2 linked regions of the Elephas maximus indicus genome follow. The protein of the gene in region 2 interacts with the protein of the main gene of each other region in a pairwise test. Links are inferred from orthologs where the notes say so. Each region holds a gene or a part of one and is shown on either strand. Other genes may lie near its edges.

The links. The genes of interacting proteins can lie anywhere in the genome.
Region 1: the proteins of STAU1 (region 2) and NXT1 interact in binary tests that used the Homo sapiens proteins (3 or more experiments, as listed by UniProt). The two-hybrid records come from large-scale screens. The link is inferred for Elephas maximus indicus from reciprocal best matches to the Homo sapiens genes STAU1 and NXT1.

What each region holds. Positions count from the first base shown.
Region 1 is NC_064843.1:65,789,445-65,797,030, reverse strand, and holds the start of NXT1 (NTF2-related export protein 1), read right to left. Parts: upstream 3,008-7,586; 5' UTR 2,864-3,007; intron 2,483-2,863; exon of another isoform or gene 2,267-2,482; intron 1-2,266.
Region 2 is NC_064843.1:20,395,949-20,403,172, forward strand, and holds the start of STAU1 (double-stranded RNA-binding protein Staufen homolog 1), read left to right. Parts: upstream 1-4,092; 5' UTR 4,093-4,343; intron 4,344-7,224. UniProt on the Homo sapiens protein: Binds double-stranded RNA (regardless of the sequence) and tubulin.

The DNA.
Region 1 (7,586 bases), about 45 Mb from region 2:
AACCCACCTGCAGCAAAGGAGAATGGAGAACACTAAGGATACAAGGTCATTAATTGTGAGTCCAAGAGACAGACAGGGCCACATAAACCAGAGACTACCTCAGCCTGAGACCAGAAGAACTAGATGGTGCCTAACTACAACTGATGACTGCCCTGACAGGGAACACAACAGAGAACCCCTGAGGGAGCAGGAGGAGAGCATGGGGATGCAGACCCCAAATTCCGCAAAATGACCAGACTTAATGGTCGAACTGAGACTAGAAGGACCCCAGAGGTCATGGTTCCCAGACTTTCTGTTAGCCCAAGACAGGAACCATTCCCAAAGCCAGCTCTTCAGACAGAGATTGGGCTGGACGATGGGACAGAAAATGATATTGGTGAAGAGTGAGCTCCTTGGATCAAGTAAACCCAAACAAGCAGACACAGGAAACTGTAGGGAGCTCTTGTCTGGAGAAGAAAGGAGAGGGCAGAGGGGGGCAGATGCTGGCTGAATGGACACAAAAATAGAGAGCGGAGGGAAAGAGTGTGCTGTGTCAATAAAACCCCAAAAAACCAAACCCAGTGCTATCAAGTCGATTCCGACTCATAGCGACCCTATAGGACAGAGTAGAACTGCCCCACAGAGGGGTTTTCAAGGAGCGCCTGGCAGATTCGAACTGCCAACCCTTTGGTTAGCAGCCATAGCACTTAACCACTACGCCACCAGGGTTTCGCTGTGTCAATACAGAAGTGGAAACAGGAGTACACAGCAAGGTTACATAAGTTTTTATATGAGATATTGACTTGTTTTTAAACTTTCACTTAAAAAAAAAAATCTTAGCCTAGACCTTTTGTTGAGAACATGAATTCAGACTACAAGCCTCTAAAATCATGAGGCAATAAATTTCTGTTCTTATAAGCACCGCCCCCCAAAAAACCTTCTGACTCATGGCAACCGTGTACAGGACGGAACAGAATTGCCCTGTAGGGTTTCAAAGGCCGTGAATCTTTATAGAAGCAGACTGCCACATCTTTCTCCCATGGAGCAGCTAACAGGTTTGAACCGTTAAGCTTTCACTTAGCAGCTAAGTGCGTGAGCACCGTGCCACTAGAGCCTGCTGTAATCATCAGCTAACAAAACAGATGACAGATTCCACATGGGGTGGAGAAAGAGACCTGGTCAGGTAGATTTAAAGGCTGGGAAAGGCACTGGCATCTGCCTCTAGTAAAGACCTGTGAAGAGCTGGGGGTGGGGGGTGGGGGGTGGGGGGTGGGGGGTGGGGGGTGGGGGGTGGGGGGTGGGGGGTGGGGGGTGGGGGAGCAGCCCTAGACATAAGAGTTGGGTCTTCCACAGACACTGGTCTTTCCACTTCCTCCACGGACCTCGATACCAGACATCAGTGCGCACTTACTCTGGGCTAGGTACTGTGATAGGGCTTTACACGCCTTACCTTCACTTAAGCATCACCATGCTGGATGAAAGGAGCCATGGTGGCACAGGGGTTAAGCACTCAGCTGCTAAACTTAAGGTTAGTGGTTTGAACTCATCTGCCTCTGCACGGGAGAAACCTGTTGCAGTCTTCTGTAAAGATTTACAGCCTTGGAAACCCCACCCGGCAGCTCTGCTCCGTCCTGGAGCGTTGCCAGCAGCTGGATAATGAATGGGTGAGGAGGACATTACACAACAGCTTTATAAATCAGAAAACAACAGTCTGGAACAAGATCACAACAGTAAGTAGATGCCTGATTTACCGTTCATAAAAACGTCTGTGGACCTTGAAAAATTTCAAAAGACTGCTGGCCTTTTATTTGCTCAAAGTTCCCTGCATTTTTTAACTAAAGCTGAATTTGTCTACTTGAGCTTAGCTCCAGGACAAGTGGTTTGAAAATTCCTTTCTGGAAACTCAGATTTCTCTTTCTGGAAGGCCCGACCATTACAAGGTCCACATTCCTCCTCATCCTGATGTCCCGTCAGTCCTCCATCGTCTCAATTCCATTGTCTCCGGACCTTCTCTTCAGTTGAGCCCCTGTTCCCCCACCTCTGCTTCCACTCACAATCATGTCCCCTCTCCCAATAAACGACCACGTCTCTTCGCTACGTTAATACAGAGCAATAATGAGACTGTGGAAAGTGGGATAAATGAAAATCTGTGAATACCGCCTCCTTTTCTCTGGGCTCCACATCACCGAATGCTGAGTGAGAAGATGCAACAGTTACACAGTTCTTCTGAGGCCTCAGAGCTGCTCCTCTACATGGCTCTCTCCTGCTCACTGCAATGCAAACTTACCGAGAGTTTCTCTCTGAACGCATGCTCTTCCTCCCGCACACGCAGAAACCTAACGCAGGCCTGCACTGATACCTCCTGATTTAGCGACAAAACCCGCGGGTTTCCCTTGACAGTGAAGCAAGGCTCGGGAATGCCCGTGTTCCTCTCCCTGTCTCTCGTGAATCGCTCCGCGTCCGCGCGTGGTCCCCAATGTACCAGATGGGGTCGGCGACCTACCTGTGCAGACCACATCCCGGGTCAGCGCGGGCGGAGAGGGTCTCCGCCTCCCTCGCCAGCGCGGGTCGGGGTGCGACTCAGCGACCCCCAGTGAGCGTGGGCGGGGAGTGGGGGCGGGTAGGCGTCCGGGGTGGGCGGTGGGCGTCCCCGGGGGCCGGCGGGGCAGGGGCAGTGGGCGTCCCGGGGGGGCGGGGCCGTCTCCGGTGGGCGGGGGGAGTCCCCGTGGGGCGGGGGCGTCTCCGGTGCGCGGGGGGCGGTAGGAGTCCCCAGGGGCGACGGGGCGGGGACAGGGGGCGTCGCGGACTGCAGGTCTACCGAGAGGCCCGGCACCTGAAGGTCACGGGTGGGACTGCCGAGGCTCTCAGCTCCCCCATGGCTCACCTGTGGGGGGCGCGGGAAGAGCCGCCCTCTTTTCCTCCAGCGGGGCTCACTCAGCTGGATCGCCGGGGCCCTAGGCGGCGGCGGCGACTGGCGGCCGGAGGCGCCCCCGGCGGCTCCCGGTGCAGATTCCCACTGGAGGCCCGCCTTGCGTGACCGGCAGCTGAGTGAACCAATGGGAAGGCGAGTCGGAAGGTAGCCCCGCCTAGGTGTGGCGGGAAGAGAGCCGCGGTTTCCGGGCGGGGGAGGGTCCAGGCAACGGCAGCGCTCGAGCTTTCATTGGTCCAACCGGGTCACAGACTCCGGTCCAAATAGTTAGGTGAGATATCGTTGATTGGATAAAGTTTCCAGGCCCCGCCCCCGGAGCCGAGGCCGCCCACTTGTGATGCTCTGCCGGAGAGGTTCATGCGCGCACGCTCAACTGCAGCTGGGGCTTCCGGTTCCGGGGCATGTGACGCCCCGCGACTTGTGCATCCGGGGCAGCCCACTGAGGCGCTCAGTCAGACATCGCGTGTGGTCGCCGGGAGCACGTGCACCCTCCGAGAGGGTAATTATCTGCCCAAGCGGTGACCCGAGCGGGCGCTGCCGTTTGTAGCTTGAGGCCCTTGGAGTTGACGGGCTGAGGGGTTGGGAAGGTCTTCTGGTAAGCGGGGACCCAGGAGCCCCGGCTGAGCAGTGGTTACAGGGCTCGGCTGCTAACCGAAAGGCCCGCGGCTGGAGCCCGCCGGCCGCTCTGAGGCACCCGGACGAGGCTTCCGTGAGCTTGTCGTTAGGTGCTGTGGTGCTGTCCGGCTCATAGCGACCCTGAGGCAAGGGACGGAGCACGGCCGGCTTCCGTGCCGGCGCCCCGGCCTGCTGCTGTGAACCCGCCGGTGCAGCCGCCGCGTCCGCGCGCCTCGCCGAGGGTCTGCCTCTCTCCGCTGACCCTCAGCCGAGCATGATGCCCTCCCGGGACCGGGCCCTCGTGGTAACGTGTCCACAGTACCAGAGACGGAGCCTCCTTATCCTCGTTTCCCAGGAGCGTTCTGGCTGCACTTCTGCCAAGACGAATTACTGCCTCGGAAGTACTGTGGGGCAGGTCAGCACGTCCTGTAGGGTCGCTGGGAGTGGGATTCAAGTCCAGGGCAACGGGTTTGGTCTCGGGAAACTGCCTAAAAGTGAGAAGAGGGTCGAGGATGGGGATGAGGGCGTGGGTAAAGCTGGGAACTGGCAAAAGGGCGCCAAAGGGCAGTTTACCTTCTGCGTCTTGAGAACCGAGGGGCTCCTTCCTTCACTCCATACTTATGGTGCCAGCTGTGGCTCAGAGCTTGGCTGGTGGCTTGATTCTGTGCTCCAGCTTTCCAAACTAGCTGTCTGGAACTTCAGCTGACCAATATGGAATCATTTAGTGAAAATAAAAGTGAGAATAAAACACGTTTGGACTTCAGGCGGAAGATTCTGAGCTCCACTTGCTGACCCTTAGGTGCGATATCGGATCCACCAGGTGTTCCTTGGAAACTATGGGGCAGTTCTCTCTCCTGTGGGGTCACTGAGGGTTGGAATTGACTCGATAGCAACGGGTTTGATTTTTTTGGGTTAAAGGTGAGGGAGCATTCTGGGCATGGGCTAGGTTCAAGGATTTTGCAGTGTCCTTTTAGGGCGTGTATTCATCGGAGGGATGCTTTTTTGGTGTCCTCAGCCTTGAGTTTGCTCGCGTTGCTCAGAGAACCCTTGCTCTCAGATTTCAAGACGAGCTTAGAAACCGGGTGGGCTGTTTAGTAAAGATGGGCTACTGAAATCAAGTAGGTGAAGGAGGTTTGGATTGTAAGAAGTAAGCTGGAGGCTGAGTAGAAAGGTCGAATGAGCGTCTTTGGAGCAGTGCTCATACCAGTTATTTCTTTATGAAGCCCAGGACAGTGAGGTCAGGGTTCGCTGTGCACAAGTCCATATCCCAGCACCAGTGGATGAAAAGAAAGCTGATTACTCTGTGCTCACTAGGTTGAATGTTAGGCTGCTTTAAGTTTCCCTGTATTCCCCTTTTTTCATAACCCTTTGAGGAAGGTGTTATTATTCCTGATATTATAGACGAGGAGGCTGAGAGAGAAATGAAATTAGCAGCCTGGAGTTACAGAGTTGAGTTAGACCTAAAAAAGCTGAACAGGACAACGTTTGTCCATCTCCAATGCCTTGTAAATACAGAGGACTTTGTCCCCAAGAGGCAGCAGAGCCAGCAGTGGGTAGGAAGGCAGGGACCTTTAAGACCTGTGTCTAGCATCTAAAATTGTGCTTAACTCACAGTAAGAGCTCAATAAATACTGTTTGAATGAATAGGCTTTGGTGCAGGACAGGCCTGAGTTCAAATCATTGCTCTACAACATTGCAATTGTGATGACCCCTCCCCCAAGTCTACTCCCCCTTCTCTTGGAAGCCCCGCTAGTTGTTATTCCCCTGCAGTCCTTGCATTTGGGAGTTTAGGGCCACGCCTGGCCCTCAGGCACAGGGTGCTGGCACTGTGCCCCAAGCAGAACTCAGGGATGGTGGGAGACCCAGTCAGGGCCACCAAGCCTGGAGAAGGTGGTTGCTCAGGGGTGCTGGGAAAGAAATGTTTTCTCTCTCTCTGGACTTGTGGTGTGTGGATGGCACTGCGACAACCATCTTTCCCCCCTGAGGGGAGCCCCATGCCCATGAGACAGACATGAGAGATGGGAAGAAATCAGGCACTCGATGACTGTGTTAAGACCCTGAGTCAAACCAGCCCTGAAGTTTGGACTTTGCAGTTTCAGGAGCTAGTAAAATATCCTTCATTTTTCATGCTATTTAAAGTTGGGCTTTACGTTACTTATAATTTAACTAGTATACCTAGTAGAGGTGACTGGTGGGTTGACTAGGGGATCATGTAAACTAACCTCTCTGAGTCTCAGCTGCCTCACCGGAGAATGAGGACAATAATAATACCCATTTTCTTGGGCAGATGCGAGCAGCGAAGGAAGCAATGCTTGGCACAGAGCCTGGCCTAGATTAAGCACCCAGGAAACACCACCAAGGCAGAATTATGCTTAGACAGTTTGCACTGACAGCAACTTCCTGATTTGCCAACAAGCTCTCCCTCCAAAGACTGGCTTTTAAGCATGGGACAAGTGTATTGACAAATTAGCTGGATTTATCACCAAATCACATTGGCACCTTCTAGAAAATGAAGCCTCTCTTAGAGCAGAGGCCCCGTTTGCAGCCTGGAGCCTCTCCAGGGAGGGAGGACACATCTACGTGCGGAGCCTCTGGCAGCTCTGAAGACAGGCCTGACTTAGGATGTTTATGTCTGAAGGACAGGGTTGATCTCCCCTGTTGTCGGTGTGTGTCTGCTGCAGGACCTAGCAGCACGTGTTTGCCTTAAGAGGCTTGGAGCTGGGCCACCTGCATTGGCACTGATAACAAATCTTTTTTTTTTTAATCTTTCCCTGATTTATTTGTTTCAGAGATTGCCATTTGAGGGCAGAAGGTAGAACTGAGAGCCTCTCGTACCCAGGGGGCAACAAGACTAAAGCCTCAGCAGGGCCATCAAGCTGCCGAACAACCAGGCGAGCCAGGGCTGTAGTTCTGGGAGGTCACTTGGGGACCCCACTTTTGGGGAGACTTTTCTGGAGGCCATGGAAGGAGCATATCATATGGGGCAGACAGGGTTTTGTGAAATCCTAGCTCTGCCACTCTGCCTCCTCTGTTCCTCGGTGACTTTGTGAAATGGGAGTGGGAATGCCGTAGTAGTTAAATGGCAGCGCATTGTGGAGGCACCACTGGGAGTGTTTGCCTCGCCTACAAGGATGCCCTTTGTTTGAGAATGTTCTTGGAATCATTGCTGATTGGGTTGCAGGTGGAAGTCTCTCCAGCTGAGCCATCAAATGCTCTTTCCCGGAAACGTGGAATTTTGGGAGCCAGAAACTGCTAATAAGCTTCAGGTGTGGCTGGAACTGAATATGGATATTTATTGGGGTTGATTGTTCGCAAGTAACAGAAACCAGTTTTGGCTAATGTAGGCCAGAGGTGTTTACTGGAAGCCTGCAGGTGCTTGCTGAGCCAAGGCAGGGCTTGGTAAGACTCCTGGGGTCTGGGGAGCAGGAACTGGGCAGTGGGTGCTTCAGGTGCTACCTCGGACAAATTTCTAGCCATTGGGATCCTCCACTCAAGATTCAGATTCCTGGGAGACAGAGAGCTGCATTGGCCTAACTCCAACCATGCGCCACCTGCCGCTTGGCCAGGAAGGGGTGGGGCAGCTTGACAGCCAGTCCCACTGAGGAGAGGAGAGGAGAGTTCCTGGGATTCTTGGAAGGCAGAAAGAACTGAGGCCAGTAGCGCCTGTAGGTTGGGAGCTGGGTGGCCATGAGGACAGACGAGATAATGAAGCAGAGTCAAAAGGCCACGTGATCTGAGAGAGTGCTAGAGTAGGGCACACCCACGCAGGCATAGGCACATGAGCTCTTGGTGAACAGCTGCCTTGGTTCCCAGTGTTTTTTTGTTCCTTGTTGTGGCAAGTGTTATTTTCCAAAAAACGGGCACAAAAATGTTTCTGGTTCCATGTGCTTGTCCAAACCTTGCCTTGCCGTCCCCACCAGGAGATGGTGTCTGTCCCCTTCCCTTGGATCTGGTCAGGCCTGGGGACCCAGTGAGGCAGGCCCAACTCACAGGGTTCAGAGGAAATGGTTGTGTGTGAGGTTAGGTCATAAAAGGGGGTGCGGCTCTGCCCAGCTGTCTCTTC
Region 2 (7,224 bases):
TTCTGTTATAGTACACAAGATGACTAAGACAGGAGGCCTGTCCTGAGAGGCCTGTTAGCATGGCAGAGAGGACTGCTAGCCCAGCCAAGTAGGGTCTGCTAGCATAGCATACGGAAGCTGATGGAGCTGTCCTGGTTGGAAGCTGTCCTGATTGACCAACTGCATCCTGTCTCCCGAGTTACTTCCAAGTTGATCATGATCCTGAGTTGTAGCTCATTATTTCCCTAATAAACCCCTTAACTGTGAGTATGGTCTGTGCATTCTGTGTGGGCATTGCAACGAATTATGGAACCCAGTAGAAAAGTAGAGAGTGTTGTAGAGAGTGTTCTGTCTGGTGTGAGAAATGGTGAAGAATTTGGAGAGTGGAGGTGTGTCTGACCTCTACCTCACAGAAACCAGCTTTGTGTTGATTCAGATTCTTACACACCTCATGAAGTTAGACAAGTTTTGAGTATCTTTCAGATCTTCGCTAAAGCTACAGTGTTTCAAGGTACTCCTTCCCTAAACCCTGCAACTAGGTCAGATTCTCACTAAGTGCCCCCATAACACCATCTGCTTTTCCTTCCTGTATTATCACTGTTACATTTGGAGATATATGACCAGGTCTGTCTTTTCTATCAGTTGCCTTCAGGCCAGGATTCAACCCATGTACTTATACAGTAGGCCAGGCATTACAGCTTCAAAGCCAATAGGCACGAAAAAGTAACATAAATGAGAGGTGGGCAGGCTGGGGATTGTGATAAAAAAAACTTACCCCATCTATAGCGTTCAGCGCCATTCATAGGTTCTGTGCAGCAGATTTGCTTCATTTTAAAAGAGATGATGCAAACCCAGATTATTACGTGAATGTTAGGATGATAGCAACTAATTAAAACTAAAAACAGAGAGAGAAAGAGAAGAGAAAAACAACAACCACCTGAAGACTTAATATCCCTCATTTTGAGAACTACTCTGAACTTTCACGATGTACAACCAAGGAATTGTATATAACTGAGGCACAGGTTAGCCATGGGGCTGGCTGGGGTTCAGGGAGAAGTCATTTAGATTTGCTTTTCTCTATTTGTACCTAGGGACCATCACTTAAGTTCTCTTTCAAAGGCCCGTAGGCCTCTAGACTCTCACCAAGTAATTAAGGAGTTATTTATTTTTCTTTCTCTTGGGAAGAAGAGGGAAGTAAGAAACTGATCATTAAGTTTTACTAAATTCTCTGTGTTCCCTCCCAGAGGATAAATTATAAGTATTTGTAACAAGGAATGTGAACATGCAAATCTCATAAAAGCCCTGGGAGAAGTCAATTTTTGTCAAAAACTTATACTTCTTGTTATTTCATGTTTCTATTAAAAAAATAGAGGGACCTCTCTCTGACTGTATGGAAGGAGGGGAGAAAATTGAGACTAGAATTCATAGGCCCATTGTTTAAGCCTCCCATGGGTGATAGTAAAATGGGACAGAATGACTTCCTTCTAACTTCACACCTTTGAGAAGATTGTTTGATTGTATTCACAGATACAGTTTTGGGTTTAGAGAAACCCCTCTGTGACTATTCTTTTACCCAAGTGAGCTATGAGATCCAGACTGCTTAGACGTTAGAAAGAAAAAAATTCACCTTCAGCAGAGAGCTGAAAAATACTTGATTGTTGCTTAGTCTTGGATGGGCACTGAAAGGATGATGAAGGTCTTCTGACTGATTTTCATGTCCTGAAACTTCTCATTGTGTTTTACAAGAAACAAAATAAGGCCTAGTCCAGAGAAGAGAGTCCTCCACGGCTAGGGCAAGGATTCTTCAGCCTCACAATCTCAAGTTGTGGATTTATGCAAATTTAACAGCTTTTCCATGGCAAAAAAGACTGAGCAACAGTTAGATTGAGAGTTACTGACAGACAGAATGAACGTTTTAAATAGTGATGGAACAGCTCCAGAGTGAGCAGGAGAGAGGAAGCCTGTGACTCTGCAGTTGCTTCAATCACTCTGAGCTTCCCGGACTTCTTACAATGTGAGCATCATTCTTCACTGGGGGTGATTCCAGGTGTCAAAGATTCCTTCGCCCTCTCCACTCTTGAACATCAGGGCCTCTAAAAAAAGCTTAGGTTATCTAGAGCTGGGTGAGAGAAAGGGACGTATGTTGCCATGCTTGAGAAAAAACAGACAGAGGAATCTGTCATTTTCCAAATCTCTTTCTAAGAGATTTCGAGAATAATTTTGACAAAATGGGGTCTCTACATTGCATGTTCACCTACAAACAAATCATGGTCTTGGTGGATTTGAAGAATCGAAAAGATCTCTAGGTTGATGTCTAGGTTCTTTACTGAACCAAGTCAAGAGTTAACAGTCCTAACAAGTTCTAAAAATATATTTTCTTCTTAAGAAATTTATACATGTTTCTTACAGAACATTCTTTCCTGCCTCAGAGCCTTCTCTGCCTGGGATGCTCTATCCTTAAATTTTTTATGGCTCTGGACTTACTTCCAACGTCTCCTTCTCAAGGGGCCCTATCTGACCCTGTCTTAGTCATCTAGTGCTGCTATAACAGAAATACCACAAGTGGATGGCTTCAACAAAGAGAAATTTATTCTCTCACAGTCTAGCAGGCCGGAAGTCCAAATTTAGGGCGTCAGCTCCAGGGGAAGCCTTTCTCTGTCAGCTCTGGAGAAAGGTCATCATCATCCATCTTCCCCTGGGCTACAGGCTTCTCCCCGCAGGAACCTTGGGTGCACCCTGCTCCAGGTGCTTCTTTCCTGGTGGTATGAGGTCCCCACTCTGCTTGCTTTCCTTTCCTTTTATCTCTTGTAAGATAAAAGGTGGTGCAGGCCACACCCCAGGCAAACTCCCCTTACATTGGATCAGGGATGTGACCTGAGCAAGGGTGTTACATCCCACCCTAATCCTCTTTAACCACAGGAAGAGATTATGATTTATAACACATAGGAAAATCACAAAATGGAGGACAACCACATGACACTGGGAATCACGGCCTAACCAAGTTGACACATATTTTTAGGGGACACAATTCAATCCATGACAGGCCCTCTCCACCCAATCACAATTTATCATATAAGTCTGTTTCATTTTCTTATAGCATTTATTGCTCTTTTATCTCATTTGATTATCATTTATTGTGTATCTCCTTTTGTCTAAGGCATTTATTATTTTTTACACTCTATATGAATATAATTATATAAATTTACTGGAGCCCTGGTGACACAATGGTTAAGAGCTTGGCTCCTGACCAAAAGGTCAGCAGTTCAAATCCACCGGCTACTCCTTTGAAACCCTATGGGGCAGTTCTACTCTGTCCTATAGGGTTGCTATGAGTTGGAATCAACTCAATGGCAATAGTTTTTTTGGGGGGGGTTTTTTTTGGATATAAATTACTTTTTTTTTTTTTAATAATTTTTATTGAGCTTTAAGTGAACGTTTACAAATCAAGTCAGTCTGTCACATATAACTTATTTATTTATTTATTTTTAATTCAGTTTTATCCCCACTAGAAGGGAGCAGTACTCAGAATAGAATCAAGGCAAGGGGTAGAGGGGCTAATGGTTAAGAGCCTGGCTGCTAACCAAAAGGTCAGCAGTTCAAATCCACCAGCTGCTCTTTGGAAACTCTATGGGCAGCTCTACTTTGCCCTATAGGGTCACTATGAGTGGGAATGGACTGAAACCCAACAGGTTTGTTTGTTTGGTAGACGGTAAGCTCCACGAGGGCGGGAATTTTTGTCTGTTCATTACTTATTCTTAGGTCTGGCAGCAGTACCTTACACATAGTAGCCGTTTAGTAAACATTTACAGAAGGAAGAATGCAGGTACTGAGGGACTAAAAGAAGGAAAAACAGGCAAAAAGTAGGAAGCAGGTAGTAGCCCCACCTCGGACTCAGCCGGCGCCTGCAAGAACTACAACTCCCAGCATGCCCCGGGGCCCAGGGCGGGTCGCGGCCGCCCCGGGCAGAGAGCAGGACCCAGCCCTTCGGGCTCCCGGCGTGCCTTGCGAGCGCCGGCGCCGCCGCAGCGCCCGCCGGAACTTGTGGTCCAAGCGCGGGTGGGGGTGGGGCCGGGCTTGGAGGCGGGCGGGGGCCGGGGGCGGGCGCCGGCCCCTCCCCCGTCACTTCCTGCCAGGCTGCGGGCGCTCCAGCGGCTCCTCAGCGTTTGCGCCGGCAGTCGCCGCCGCGTCTCACTCGGCTCCCCTGGTCCCTGACCCCCGGCCCGGCGGCGCCCGCCCCTCCACGGCCACTCCGCCTCTTCCCTCCCTCCGTCCCTTCCTCCTGTCCCTTCTTCCTTCCTCCTTCCCCTCTTCGCCGCCGCCGCCCAGGACCGCCGGCCGGGGGACGCGCTCAGGGCAACAGCCAGGTGAGGCGGCCGGGCCTGGCCCGAAGGCGCTCGCGCGGGCGCCGCAGCCGCGGGGAGGCGGGCGGCGGGTGGGGCCTAGGCCTCGGCGGCGCCGCGCGCCGGCCTCCTCTCCCGGGCCTCGCTCCCGCCGGCCGGGCCTTCTCCTAGGAGGCGGGTCGTTCTGCGCCCCCGCCTCGCGCCGCCGGGCGGCCTGGCCCCCGGGCGCCCGGCCCTCTCGGCCCCTAGCTGGGGCCAGAAACAGGTGCCCCGACCGCCTTTCCTCATTCCTGGCCGCGCGCTGGATGCCGGAGTTGTTCCCGGGGCGGGGGAGGGGCGAGTCTCGGCTCCGGGCCCCGAGGTCCACGCGCACGGCCGGCCCGGCCGGTGGCACAGCCGGCGCAGGGGCGGCCCAGGTGTGCGACTCGGGGGCTGACCCCGCTCTGCCCCCTTGGGCCAGTCACTTCAGCTGGCAGAAGGGGCTGATACCGCCCCTGCCCCTTAAGGTTCTCAAGGTTCAGTGAAACGGGGCGTGTAAAGCACTTACCAGAGTGTCTCAAAGCGTCAACATTATTTATTAGCGCGATCACAAAACCCAGCGCGCGATCAGTAAGGTGTTTAATTAAATGGATAGAGGGCGCAGAAACTGACCTACCTACCCGTGTTGGGATCCTTGGAAGCGGAAATGTCTCAGCGTGCCCACTGCCAGCGCCAGGACATTGTTTTGGGTTGTTAACCCAAAGGGGCTTACGTTTAATTGGGACACTCTGCAGTAGGTAGCCTGTAAAAGATAGCTGCTGTTATTTCCATCTCATCCGTGTGGCCAACTGCAGGATTTTCACCACTGAGAGCAACCTGTCCGCTTCTTCTGCCATCATCCGGCTTCTTGTTGTCATCTCACTTCTGGGAAACTTGCTGGCAGAAGCAAACCTTTCTGCAGCACCTGCTGTGGGGTCGGGTTCTGGAGGGGGAAGATGGTGTACAAATATGAACAAACATGTCTGTCTGTCCCTTTCTTGCTCTACATCTCGAACTTCTAACTTTTTGTCACTGCAGCTTTGCTTTTATTCCCTCCGTTCCCGTTGGCTGACTTTCATTTTAAGCCCTTGCCCACCTCCGTGTTGCAGTATTGCTTGTATGGAAGTTTTCTTCTGTTCCAGCAAAGATGTGTGCTTCAGTCTGTTCTGCCCTTCTCTGGCTGTGGGGATGTTTTTAAGGTCACTCTTCCCTTCTGCCTTTAGCTTTAATTGTTTAGAGGGTGGGAGAAGGAGTGAGTTAAACTGGGTTTTCAGATGATTTGGGTCTTTCAGGAATCAAAAGTGCTTACCAAATGTAAATGACATTGCTACTTGTTGAAGTTAACACTAAAAATACAATTGGATCCTAGAGGGAGCCTTTTCAATCACCCTGGTGACAGGTGGGATTTTCAGAACAGTGACTTCATTGAAGCATGCCGAGTTTTTGTAATTATGTACTTAGTTGTATAGGTATACCCATCAGTAAGGTAATGCAACTCATGGAAGTTTAGATTTACAAAGGAGTCAGGAGTGTGTTTGCACTCCTGGCATAGTGGTTAAGAGTTCAGCTGCTAACCAAAAGGTCGGCAGTTTGAGTCCACCAGGCTTTCCTTGGAAACCCTATGGGGCAGTTTTGCTCTGTCCTGTAGGGTCACAGTGAGTTGGAATCGACTTGATGGCAACGGGCCTTTTTTTTTTTTGGTTCTCAATAATAACACGCATGATCCAAAGTGGCCTCCCTCTTCTTGACATTTTCTTAGAATTTTCTGACTCAAGGCCTTACCAGGGTTTCTAGTTTAAAATCTTGGCTTCGATGGCTTTTTAAAAACACCTGAGCAAACAACTAAACAACACAAAGCCTGTGTTCTACTCCCACATCGCTAATAGTAACGCTGGGGAAATGGTGTTTTAATATTGCAGTAAATAATGTAAAGTTTTTTTTAACTTTTTATCATGGAAAACATACAGACGCCAAATACTATACTGTAGAAAACCCCTGTGTATTGGTCGCTCATCTTTGACAATTGTTACCTCATAGCCAAGGCCAGCCTTGTTTCATATTGTACCCCTCCCCCAAACGATTATTTTGAAACAAATCCCAAACATCCTATCACAACATTAACGATTTCCACTTTTACCAGATTGCCCCAGTCTGTCACAAAATTTACTTTTAGCAGAGTCATACTTCTTGTTTTGTTAGGATTCTCATCTCTGTTTAGACAGTGTTACTATAAAAAAAATAAAATTTTTTTTATAGTGTTACTATAGAGCAGAAAAAAGAGCAGCAGCTTGATTAGTGCTTAATTCAGTGTTTCTCCCCATCAAACTCACGTCCAAAATATTGGTTTGTTTCTTTGCATATGAAAACAATAATTTTTCTATTAATGACTGTAATTGAAAAGCAGTCAGAAATAACAGATTTTCCTAATCCTATCTGCTGGGGACCTACCTGTTAAACCACTTTTTATGGAGAATTAACTTTGCATCCAAGTTAAAGTTAATTATTTATAATGAAAACCTTTAAAGTTTCTTTATAGTAGTTGTGTAAATATGTTGATCTCAGCTTAGGTTAAGAATTAAGTAAAGGGTATTTGATTTCAGTACCCTCCGTTGTAGAATTATTTTCCAAAGACTGCCCCCATCTGCCTTATTTGCAAACAACAAATTTATTTAAGCAGGAATGAAATCTTAATTTTTGTGACTAGTATGAAATCATAGCACAGGTGTTCACATTTTTCTTTCTGGTCTAAAAAGAGATCTAACCTAGAATAGAAAGTTGACAAGAATATTAAAAATGTCATTGTTACATAATTTTCAAACTTCTGGTCATGAACAGTTTCCAGTTCTTAGTCCTGTAACATTGTTATTTCACTTCTGTAGGTTGACTT